Xenopus tropicalis: one gene and its partners. The protein of the gene in region 1 interacts with the protein of each later gene in a pairwise test. Links are inferred from orthologs where the notes say so. Each region holds a gene or a part of one and is shown on either strand. Other genes may lie near its edges.

Region 1 (3,570 bases):
AATACTGACCATTGAGCAGTATTATACCTTTCCATTGAGCAGTATTATACCTTTCCATTGAGCAGTATTATACCTTTCCATTGAGCAGTATTATACCTTTCCATTGAGCAGTATTATACCTTTCTATTGAGCAGTATTATACCTTTCCATTGAGCAGTATTATACCTTTCCATTGAGCAGTATTATACCTTTCCATTGAGCAGTATTATACCTTTCCATTGAGCAGTATTATACCTTTCCATTGAGCAGTATTATACCTTTCTATTGAGCAGTATTATACCTTTCCATTGAGCAGTATTATACCTTTCCATTGAGCAGTATTATACCTTTCTATTGAGCAGTATTATACCTTTCCATTGAGCAGTATTATACCTTTCCATTGAGCAGTATTATACCTTTCCAAATGTTGCTGCACAAGCTGGCTCTAGTTTCTCCTTCCTGCAGAAGTCCAAATAGTGGGCATACAGTATGCATCGAGGCAGGCAAACTCCCTCACATACAATATAGTTCTCCTCAAGCCTGCAATTAAAGAAATTAAGATGGATAGCTAATATCAATTTCTTTTTCACATACAAACCCCTGAGTCAATAACATTAACTTTCAAGCATTTAATAGCTTCAGGCACTTTTTTCAACATAATAAGGCACCAGGACTGATAGTTCTTTTATTCGGACAGAAACCCTGCGTGTGGAGCAATGTGCCATAATGATTTTTATTGAATCCAACACTGGTTCATTTGATATAGCTTAATTTGCTAAGGTAACCAAATCATGTTTAAAATCAGGGAAACTGCTAATTAATTCAAGTTGCTGGGCTGCACTGACTGCATTTGAATTAATTACAATAAAGCCCTAGAATATTAGGCTGATAAAATACAATATTTATACTGCATGTGCTTTTGCAAATTTTAGGCATGCTGCTTAAAAATATGCACTTCATTTAAGCACTGACCAAAAAATTCTTGCAAATTCAAAACCTAACACTAAAAATGCATCTACAAAAACTGTCGCCTTCTTTTGTCCAGTGCTTATACATGCCAATTTGCGTTTAGATATGGGTCAGCCAGTCACTCTGGATTCTGCCAGATCTGAATCCCACAAAAAGTGCTCTAATTCAGCCAAATCCTGGATTCAGTGGAACCCGGCTTCTTTTAAAAATGTTATTATATAACATTACATAATGGGCACCAAGATGTTAAGAAAGAAGTAGAATAACATTTAATGAAATTAATTTATGATTCTTTTTTATTTTTATTTTTTTTATTTTATTTAAATTTTTTCCTAAATAATTTTATCTAAGGTGCAGGAGGGCAGAAATGTACCCATAGAAACCCGTTAGCATATCCAGTTAGCTATTCAGTATCACTATGGTTAATGGCTTTAGTAATGCCCTTTATCTTGGTGACTCGACTGTTCTATTACAAAAAGAATTCCTTGGAAATGTTATTCATTATTAGCTGTGCTGTGGCTTATGATTACAATATTTACGCTATGGCCCTCTGTTACATATTGCATAGAGAAAATGTCATGGATGTGTAATCACTTATACTGATAAGAAACACTTTATTACTGTAGTTGTTTACAAATCTGAAAAGTTTTTATCATCTCCTGTATTTAATAATGATATCATCATTCACATATGATTTACATTGCATTGTCATAAAAACTAAGATACTGTATATGTTGCTCTACAGAGATCCTATTGTCCCACAGTCCTGTGTTTAGGAAGGCAGATAACCAATTGGAAGATAGCATCAATGTGTAAACACACATTATTTGTTTAATATAATTGTTCTGAAAACAAAGATTGTATAGCAATATTTTTAACTTCTCAACTACATAGCGATTGTTTACTTACTGCTAGTGTAATGTGCAAAGTGTGCCATGATTTTTACTCAGCATTTTTTCTCCTTAAAGGACATGTAAAGCCTTCATTTGCCTACAATGTGTATCAGTTGGGCACATCTCCCCCACCCAAATGGCATCATGTGTACTGCATATATCCCCTCCGTTTGCCAGCACCATCACATTTCCCTAAAGCAAATAGCAGCTTTCACCTGGTGGCCGTTTTTCCTCAGATACATTTAAATCTGCAAACAGCATACACACACACAGACCCTTATTCAGCATACATTTCATCAAGAATACAGGCTGACATAGGCAGAACTGTCTTTGATAAAAGTTTTGCTTTGTTTGAGCTGAGCTCAGGAGAGAAAGTTAGGAGAAAAAAATTGAAGCAGACAGCTAGAGCCTAATTTCTATGGGAACCAAAAATGCCATCTCTTCATTGGCTGCTAGACTGGAGGACACGTTTAGTACTCTGAGATTAGAACAACTGAGCATGCCCACAAGCCAGAAGTCAAAGCTAATTCCCAAGGGAGCGGGCCGAGTGGGCTACAGGAGGAGAAGGACATCAAAGTGATTAAAGGGGATGTTGCAGCCTTACTATTAACCTCTGGACAACCAGAGTGGCAGGTATTGAAACATTTGAAGAGGCCTTTCACTGATTAAATTTTTGTGTGTGGGGTTTGTCCTTTAATGCCAGCATAATCACATCAGCAAGGGGGTGATGTGCCTAACATTAAATGCATTAAAATACAAGTGTACATGATTCTTTAGGAGTAAGTTTGGTGTGTCTATTGATACAGGCCTACCATGAGGATACTGGGGCTACCAGGGCTCCCCTGCAGCAATAGATGCACTTCCTTTGTAGCAGAAGACAGTGCAAAGGCAGTGATACCCAGAGCAACAATATGGTAGTGCAAGGAATGGCTTTGGACATTTTTCATTGATACTGAGCCCTTTTATATTCCTAATATCTGTGAGCTCTCGAAAAGAAATATAATATAAAAATATTATTTGCTATTTTTCCTGTTCTTCAACCTAGACAGGGATTACATATGTGCTTGGTGCTGTTTGAAATAAACCCAGGATTACAGTAGTTGTGTCTATGCAATAATCTACAATACTGCATATACTATTTTCTTGTTGATGTTAATGTTGATTTTTGGGCCTTAAACATTAAACCCACCCCCCATAATCTAATCTCCCTTATAAAAATGTTTCTGTATTTTGAACTAAGAATGTCAGTTAGTTTTGCTTTTTAAAGCCTAATGCAATATTTAAAGATTTTTTTATGATTTCACTTCTAAACTTGGACCACATGACTTTCATGATACCTTGTATGCCAAGTGTCCTTTCTTTCCACTGACAATCTCTGGTTTTAAACTCTGCAGATGAATTTTCTTTATGCCTGAAAATGTCCCTGTTCTGAACAACTGCACAGGAGTACTGCACATGTTATTTTTATTTTTGCTCTGGGTTACAGGACCAGGGACTACTATGTAGGTCTTGACTTATCAAGGGTGATTTTGATAATAGTAGTATTAGGATTAACTAGCATCATGAATGCATTGTTCCTACATTACACAGCAGCATTTTACATACAAATCCCAATTAAAAATAGAGCCACAAACCCTGTTAATCGAATCAGTAAGGCAAAGGTTCACAACTGTGGGGCAGGCTTTCCCAGTGGAGACTGGAGGTGACTGGAGGTGACTGTCCAGTTAGG
Region 2 (4,024 bases), on another chromosome or scaffold:
ATCTCTCCCCCTATGTATGGGGGCCTTCCATTCTATCATCTCTCCCCCTATCTATGGGGGCCTTCCATTCTATCATCTCTCCCCCTATGTATGGGGGCCTTCCATTCTATCATCTCTCCCCCTATGTATGGGGGCCTTCCATTCTATCATCTCTCCCCCTATCTATGGGGGCCTTCCATTCTATCAGATCTCCCCCTATCTATGGGGGCCTTCCATTCTATCATCTCTCCCCCTATCTATGGGGGCCTTCCATTCTATCATCTCTCCCCCTATGTATGGGGGCCTTCCATTCTATCATCTCTCCCCCTATGTATGGGGGCCTTCCATTCTATCATCTCTCCCCCTATGTATGGGGGCCTTCCATTCTATCATCTCTCCCCCTATCTATGGGGGCCTTCCATTCTATCATCTCTCCCCCTATCTATGGGGGCCTTCCACACACTGGTACCCCCCCTGCCTGCCTGGTCTCTCCCGTTCCCTCTCCCCAGTGGGTTTGCTACTATTCCATGTAACCCGGGGGGGGGGGTCCCACTCTTTCCCTGTCTCCCCCTGCCTGGGGGGGGGGGCTACTTGCTTCCATCGCACTGGGCCCCTGAATGGCCCCTGAATGGCCTCCTCCATTCCCTCTCCCTGTCCGGCCATGGGGCCACCTCCCTCAGTACTCACGGCTGTGGATCCTTTCTTGACGGCCTCCTGCGCATATTCCACCTGGAAGAGGTGCCCATCCGGGGAGAAGACAGTGATCGCCCGATCGTAACTCATGTTGGCTCCGAGGACAATCCGCTCACAAACCGAAACCTGCTCAAAACAGCGCACTCATCCCTCTCCTATTCACTAACCTCACTTCCGTTCTGCGCAGGAGCCGCCTCCCCTGCTAACCACACTGTCTACGCTACGCAAACTGCGTAAGCTTAACTCCTCCCCCGGGATTCTGCCTTACCCGGCTCATGAGACAGGAAACCCGGCTAGTGGATCCAACCATTCTAGTGGGGGGGTGGGAACCTCATCAAAGCGCTCATTTCTCAATTGTGTCAAACTGTTCCATCATCGAATCGATTTTATGAAACATGATAGATGTAGCTGTGTAGCAATAAACGTATTCTTTAAAGTGACAAGCAAACGATGTGTAAATGGGTTATTCCATTGACAAGCACTCCCCCCCCAGTCTGCTGCAGAGAATGACAAACCTTTGCCTAGTAATAGGCAGCTGATAATAAGAATATTCTGTAATAATTTATCCACTGAGGAGCACAGGGGCCATCATGTCTGTGGCCTTTGCATCAGCCAGACCCAGAGGCAAGGGAGAGATCACCCAGCAAACTATTCAGAAGGTACTGATCTGCATGGGGAAGGGGGGCTGGGGGCACCTGGGTTTATTATAAGGGGAGGTGGGAATTAAATATAGCCCATGTGTCATACATAATGCAGAGGGCAGAAAATGGGCAACAAGGATCCCCTGTGGGAGGGGCAAGAGAATTTACAGTCTGAGCAAATATGCACCTCATTCATCTCTATATATATATATCAGAATATTTAGTCTCCATGGCAGCACCATGCTTGGAATGTAAATGTCCTTAGAGATGCCATTTCTTAGAATGATAACAAGGGCAGATGCATCCTGGGGGGGTCCCTCCATCATTACCCCCATAGGGAGAAGTAGTAGCAACTGGCACACACTGTGTATCATATAAATATATATATATATACATAGTATTGTCTTTTACCCACCTAAATCTTCCTCCCCCCCCCCCAGTTCCGCTCTGATCTCCACTGATGCTGAGAGTCACTAAGCACAATCCTTAGAGAGGGATTAATGCAGTGACGGCCAGGACAGTTATGTAGTAGCTGAGGCTGAAGAAAGACCTGCATCCATTCAGCTAAAGCTCCCTAGCTGGCAGGCGATGCAGAGAAAGGGCAATCTGTCGCCTCCTTGCCCCTGAATAGAGGGGTATTCACAGGGGTGTAACAGGGGAGTCTGTAGCTGCTGGGTGGGCTCTGACTTTCTGTGAAGTTATACAATGTATCCGCCGGTACAACTGCTATAGAGACAAAATCCCACAACTTCACTGAATTTAAAGAAAACATTTTTTTGTAATTAGAGATATTATTGTGTGCTGTGGAAGGATATATGGTCCCCTGACCCCCCCTCAGATATTTATACCCACCGTATACCCACCGTATACCCACTGTATACCCAGCCGTATGACCCAACTTGGGTTTACTATTTTGTGCCGTCCTATTTAGTCACACTCCATCTTGCAGTTGACTCCTGGCTGCAAAAAGCAGATTCATTTTGAGATTACATGTATCTCCTATTCATCTTCCAGCCTACCTGGTTGCTAGGGTAAGCAAGTCCTTAGCAACCAGATCCCAGTTTGAATTCTTGTGTGAGAATGCACAAGACAGGGGTGCTGGGAGTTGTAGTTTTACAGTTGCTAGATTGGCAGATCCTATGCGCCAGGATCACTATATTGGAGGGGGAGGGGCTCAGATTTGTAGGGGATGCTCTCGGACTTACCCCTTTTTTTAATGAGGTTTCTGTGTTTAATAGATGCTGGATGAAAACCATCACCTGATACAGTGTATCATGGATTATCAGAGCAAGGGCAAGACTGCTGAGTGTACACAGTAAGTAGCAAAGTGTGAGTGTACTCAGGAGAGTGCAGACTGATTGTACTCAGTAGGAGAGTGCAGACTATGAGTGTACTCAGTAGGAGAGTGAGACTGAGTGTACTCAGTAGGAGAGTGCAGACTGTGAGTGTACTCAGTAGGAGAGTGAGACTGAGTGTACTCAGTAGGAGAGTGAGGCTGAGTGTACTCAGTAGGAGAGTGAGACTGAGTGTACTCAGTAGGAGAGTGCAAACTATGAGTGTACTCAGTAGGAGAGTGAGGCTGAGTGTACTCAGTAGGAGAGTGAGACTGAGTGTACTCAGTAGGAGAGTGAGACTGAGTGTACTCAGTAGGAGAGTGAGACTGAGTGTACTCAGTAGGAGAGTGAGACTGAGTATACTCAGTAGGAGAGTGAGACTGAGTGTACTCAGTAGGAGAGTGCAAACTATGAGTGTACTCAGTAGGAGAGTGAAACTGAGTGTACTCAGTAGGAGAGTGCAGACTATGAGTGTACTCAGTAGGAGAGTGAGACTGAGTGAACTCAGTAGGAGAGTGAGACTGAGTGTACTCAGTAGGAGAGTGAGGCTGAGTGTACTCAGTAGGAGAGTGAGACTGAGTGTACTCAGTAGGAGAGTGCAGACTATGAGTGTACTCAGTAGGAGAGTGAGACTGAGTGTACTCAGTAGGAGAGTGCAGACTATGAGTGTACTCAGTAGGAGAGTGAGACTGAGTGTACTCAGTAGGAGAGTGCAGACTATGAGTGTACTCAGTAGGAGAGTGAGACTGAGTGTACTCAGTAGGAGAGTGAGACTGAGTGTACTCAGTAGGAGAGTGAGGCTGAGTGTACTCAGTAGGAGAGTGAGACTGAGTATACTCAGTAGGAGAGTGAGACTGAGTGTACTCAGTAGGAGAGTGCAAACTATGAGTGTACTCAGTAGGAGAGTGAGGCTGAGTGTACTCAGTAGGAGAGTGAGACTGAGTATACTCAGTAGGAGAGTGAGACTGAGTGTACTCAGTAGGAGAGTGCAAACTATGAGTGTACTCAGTAGGAGAGTGAAACTGAGTGTACTCGGTAGGAGAATGAGACTGTGTGTACTCAGTAGGAGAGTGCAGACTATGAGTGTACTCAGTAGGAGAGTGAGGCTGAGTGTACTCAGTAGGAGAGTGTAGACTGTGTGTACTCAGTAGGAGAGTGTAGACTGTGTGTACTCAGTAGGAGAGTGAGACTGAGTGTACTCAGTAGGAGAGTGAGGCTGAGTGTACTCAGTAGGAGAGTGAGACTGAGTGTACTCAGTAGGAGAGTGCAGACTATGAGTGTACTCAGTAGGAGAGTGAGACTAAGTGTACTCAGTAGGAGAGTGTAGACTGTGTGTACTCAGTAGGAGAGTGAGATTGAGTGTACTCAGTAGGAGAG
Region 3 (4,012 bases), on another chromosome or scaffold:
AGACATTTTACAAATAGATACATTATCCACTTACTTGTATGCTTTATAGTGAGTATCATGCACTGTTTTAGATGCAACACAGTGCTAACAAAATCAAGGTCAGCTATATAAACACGGTGACCAAAACGGATGACATAATCTCAGAGTTGTTCAGTAAGGTTGAGGTCATGGCTCCAGGCAAGCCAGTCAAATTATTCCAATCCCATCCCAAAATCCAATTTTGTATGAACTTTGCTTTGCCTAGTAGAACTCCAGTTCATGCCTGTCATTACCATAATGATATTAGGTTTACATTGATCAGCTTGCCAATAAAAGTAATCCTGACAAATATTTATTTTGCTAATTTGCATATAGTGACAATTTTAAAAGGGGAGTCTAGATACCTATGCTCAATAGTGTACCACCAAATGAATGGGTTGTTCAAAATTGTACAAGTCTGGAATATTCCACTACCAGTGACTTCTAGTTGACCTTCCTACTACCTATTGACTTCACCACTTGAAGTATTCGGGCACAACCATCAAACAGGTAGCTGAAATGTAATGGGGTAGTTAACATTCTAAGAGGAAGTATAGCTCCTTTTTCAATATGAGTTCAATAAATGAGGTTTGTGCTGAACATACTTTTTTGCCTATTCTTCTCATCACACTATAGGTTTTGTTAATTCTTGAGTTAAATAGGGCAAACACGGAAACAAACTACTCAATGTTTGGTCTTTGTGGGGAAGATAATCATAATACCATTATACAACCCCCCTCCCTTCGCCCTCTGTTTTAGCTTAGAGAAAAGCCCATTATGCAACAATATCAAAAAACAGGTAGGCTATGGAAAGGATTAACCAGAAACTGGAGGAAGATATGACTATGCATGCATAACTTTCTTGAGATAAAGTTTAGGGAATGAAACTGCTTGTTGACCCAGAGAAAGGCTAAAACCCCCACCAGAAGCCTCACCAATTTGCCTCAAAGGGGGGAAAATTTGTGCTATGAGCTAATTTCAGCAACCTTGTATTTTCTCACTCGCAGAACCATAGATCCAATGCCTTCTTGAAGCTATTTAATGTATCTGCCAGTACAAAATACAAAAAAGTATGCGTATTGGTATTTACATAGCACTGCATAGTACTGTACATTAAAACAATATATTAATACAGACACTTTGTCTGACACTAGCCTAAAACCTCAGTAAAGCTTATTCTTGTGGGGAAGAAACCAAAGCTTTATATTCATAAGGCATTTTCATCACGAAAATGAAGGGTCTGTCACACAAAGGGTAGGACTAACTACTACCATCAGAGCATGCATATTTTATTATGAATTTCAATCTTCCAATTCCCCTTGGTTTAGAATTGTATTACCTTGAGCTAGCCATGGATGACAAACCAGATGCGTAAATTTTATGGGCTACCTGCCCTACTTTGCTCCCACATCCTGTTCTTTGTTGGTTTTCTCAGTGCCAGTGATAATAGAAGTGCCATGGCATCTGTCACCCTTTGTGTCACCTACATAAAAGGAAAAACATAACAGCACTGATTTTATGCATTTATTAAATGTTTACATTTACAGTGTAGTATTACATAGTTTCCCAAATATAACACTATGTAGGTTAGGACTAAAGTATACAAAGGCTTTTTACTATGAGCTGTTAAACAAAATAGATCTCCCTCTATTAAATTTCCTCTATAACTCCTCATATTTAAGGGAGAAAGAAAAGGTACTAAAAAGTTACAATTACTGGGGGGTGCAAAATATTAAGCAGAGCGATCCTCTTTTTCCCTTATATTTTCAAAATCCTGCGGCCGACGCATGCGCAGCAGAGTAAAAAACTTTTGGTTAAAGTTTGGCTTTTTTTTTCTACAGCTCATGCACACCCACAGCAATAAAGAAGGTGGAAAAGGATTGTTCACTCTCATGTACCCCAGGCTGTGTAATTTTGTGCTAACAGGGGCATTGGCCCAGGGTATAAAGTAAGTAATTACAATCACTGGGGGTGTGCCTAAAAGTTGCCATCCCCCAAAGTGATAATTATCTTAAAGGAGAAGAAAAGGTACAAAAACTTTATGCACAGGTATCATCAACTATAACAGTGTCAAGCATTACCAGCATTATTCAATGCAATACATAAAATGCCTGAGTTTAGTGCACCTGCAGAGCTCCTGGGCTGGTTGCACCTTCTGTGTGCCAATGCCTTGGACTTGCAGTAAATACAGGGATCTAGATGCACCTTGCATTTACAATGAATGTTGGATATGATGTCAAGTTAAGCAGCATCAAAAATAGAACATCCTCATTCCACTCATAAGCTGCCTTTAACGTCTTGGGCACAAAATGTGCCTGTCATTGTCAGGTGCAAAAAAAGCAGGCACAAAGTGCATTGTTGCAAAAAGCACATACCTGTATTTTGCACTTTACCCCACTGTGATGAGCCCTCTTTAACATAACACTAGTAATTGGACGGAGAGGGGGGAGGCAGAGTAAGGGTTAAATGAATCCATAATGATAAGGCCTTTATAACAGGAAAAAATACAATATACATTTTTTTTTTTAATTTAAAAATAGTGCACAACACATATACAGTACACGGCCCACTTATTTGGATTTGGTTGTATTTAGATGTCTTGCCCTTTTATTTTAATGTGTTATCCTTTATGTTTTCCACCCGCTGGTCCTCATATTCTGGCTACAGTCTGTCACCATTACCCAGTAGTGGCATTTGGATCACCCATACCGCCCAACACGCTCTTCCCGAAATAGTCTCGATTTTCTTAACACAGCCCGCAGTCCCGGATCGCTGCTTAAACGTCCCGCAACGCCGTTATTATCCAGCTCCTTGGCTCCTGCCGGACAGCTAATCCCGACGTCACATACTTCATCTCGCGAGATAGTGACGTCTCGACCACACACACACACACACACATATACACACACACGTATATATGAGCGCCGCCTTTGGGGCGTAACGAATATCGGTGCTTGATAAATTGGGAGCGTTTTGAAAGATAATGCAGTATGTACAGGACACGGTAGACAGTAAATGTCCTAAGAGCAGAAGTTTCAATAATAAAAAAAAAAAAAGAGCAGAAGTTACTTATATATAGATAACGGACATCGGTGCCGGATGCAGAGGTTATTAGAAATATAGATAGATGATAGATACATATATATATATATATATATATATATATATGTAGCCCACTTTTGCTGGCAGTGCTTCTACTGGCTATTACTTTGGTGCTACAGGAGTCCTGAGCCCCCGCTTACTATTGTGGGACTGGAACTCCCACCCTGGGAACTTGATATTACACGTTACTCCTTGACTGGGACTGCACACAACTCCCGGCACCTTGCCCCTCCCTTGGGGTATTTGCTTAGCGGCCAGTAGGTGATCCCTTGGTAGGAAAGAACCAAACACAAGTGGATATAGTGAACCAGATGAATCTCTTTATTAAGGGCAGACCTCTCCAGGAGTGGAATACATGCATCAGGGCACCGTCTCCTTAAATTCACTTTTAGAGAACCTCTCTCCTGTTGGGCTACCCATGGTACTCCCGCCAAGTGATCCTATCTAGGTGCTCCCCCCAGTACTCTCACCGGAAGACCCTTTCTTGGGGCTCTCCCCGGTACTCACGCCAGGCTAACCCACCTCAGGGACTCACCCCGGTACTCTTGCCTGAGCACCCTCAGATTAGGAATCTCCCTCTAGTATTGGCTTAATCCACCTGAGTAGACCTTTGGGCCCTGATCTCCAGCTGATGGATTGCTGGGGGATCTTAACCCCTTTATCACTCCTGGAGGGGCAATATCTGCCCTTTCTAACTTAATTGCCTACATGTCACTCCTAGAGCAACCTATTATAGGAACTTGCTACCTACTAGCCAGGCCTGTTGCACACCTCTGTCCAGAGGGAGGTCCCAGGCTGCAAAACCTGCTAAGCATGGGAGCTATCCACTTTTATATGTTTACACACCACCCTGTGGCTGTAACCTGAATTGCAGGGAACTCCCATTTAAGTG

What was found.
Region 2: the proteins of rfx6 (region 1) and ss18l1 interact in binary tests that used the Homo sapiens proteins (3 or more experiments, as listed by UniProt). The two-hybrid records come from large-scale screens. The link is inferred for Xenopus tropicalis from reciprocal best matches to the Homo sapiens genes RFX6 and SS18L1.
Region 3: the proteins of rfx6 (region 1) and frs3 interact in binary tests that used the Homo sapiens proteins (3 or more experiments, as listed by UniProt). The two-hybrid records come from large-scale screens. The link is inferred for Xenopus tropicalis from reciprocal best matches to the Homo sapiens genes RFX6 and FRS3.

Annotation. Positions count from the first base shown.
Region 1 is NC_030681.2:74,668,386-74,671,955, forward strand, and holds part of rfx6 (DNA-binding protein RFX6), read right to left. Parts: intron 520-3,570; coding exon 396-519; intron 1-395. UniProt on the Homo sapiens protein: Transcription factor required to direct islet cell differentiation during endocrine pancreas development. Specifically required for the differentiation of 4 of the 5 islet cell types and for the production of insulin.
Region 2 is NC_030686.2:4,413,847-4,417,870, forward strand, and holds the start of ss18l1 (calcium-responsive transactivator), read left to right. Parts: upstream 1-1,224; 5' UTR 1,225-1,262; coding exon 1,263-1,331; intron 1,332-2,551; coding exon 2,552-2,628; intron 2,629-4,024. Other genes in the region: psma7 (proteasome subunit alpha type-7), read right to left, coding at 667-762. UniProt on the Homo sapiens protein: Transcriptional activator which is required for calcium-dependent dendritic growth and branching in cortical neurons. Recruits CREB-binding protein (CREBBP) to nuclear bodies.
Region 3 is NC_030678.2:70,887,058-70,891,069, reverse strand, and holds the start of frs3 (fibroblast growth factor receptor substrate 3), read right to left. Parts: upstream 2,801-4,012; 5' UTR 2,728-2,800; exon of another isoform or gene 2,700-2,727; intron 1,502-2,699; 5' UTR 1,358-1,501; intron 1-1,357. UniProt on the Homo sapiens protein: Adapter protein that links FGF and NGF receptors to downstream signaling pathways. Involved in the activation of MAP kinases. Down-regulates ERK2 signaling by interfering with the phosphorylation and nuclear translocation of ERK2.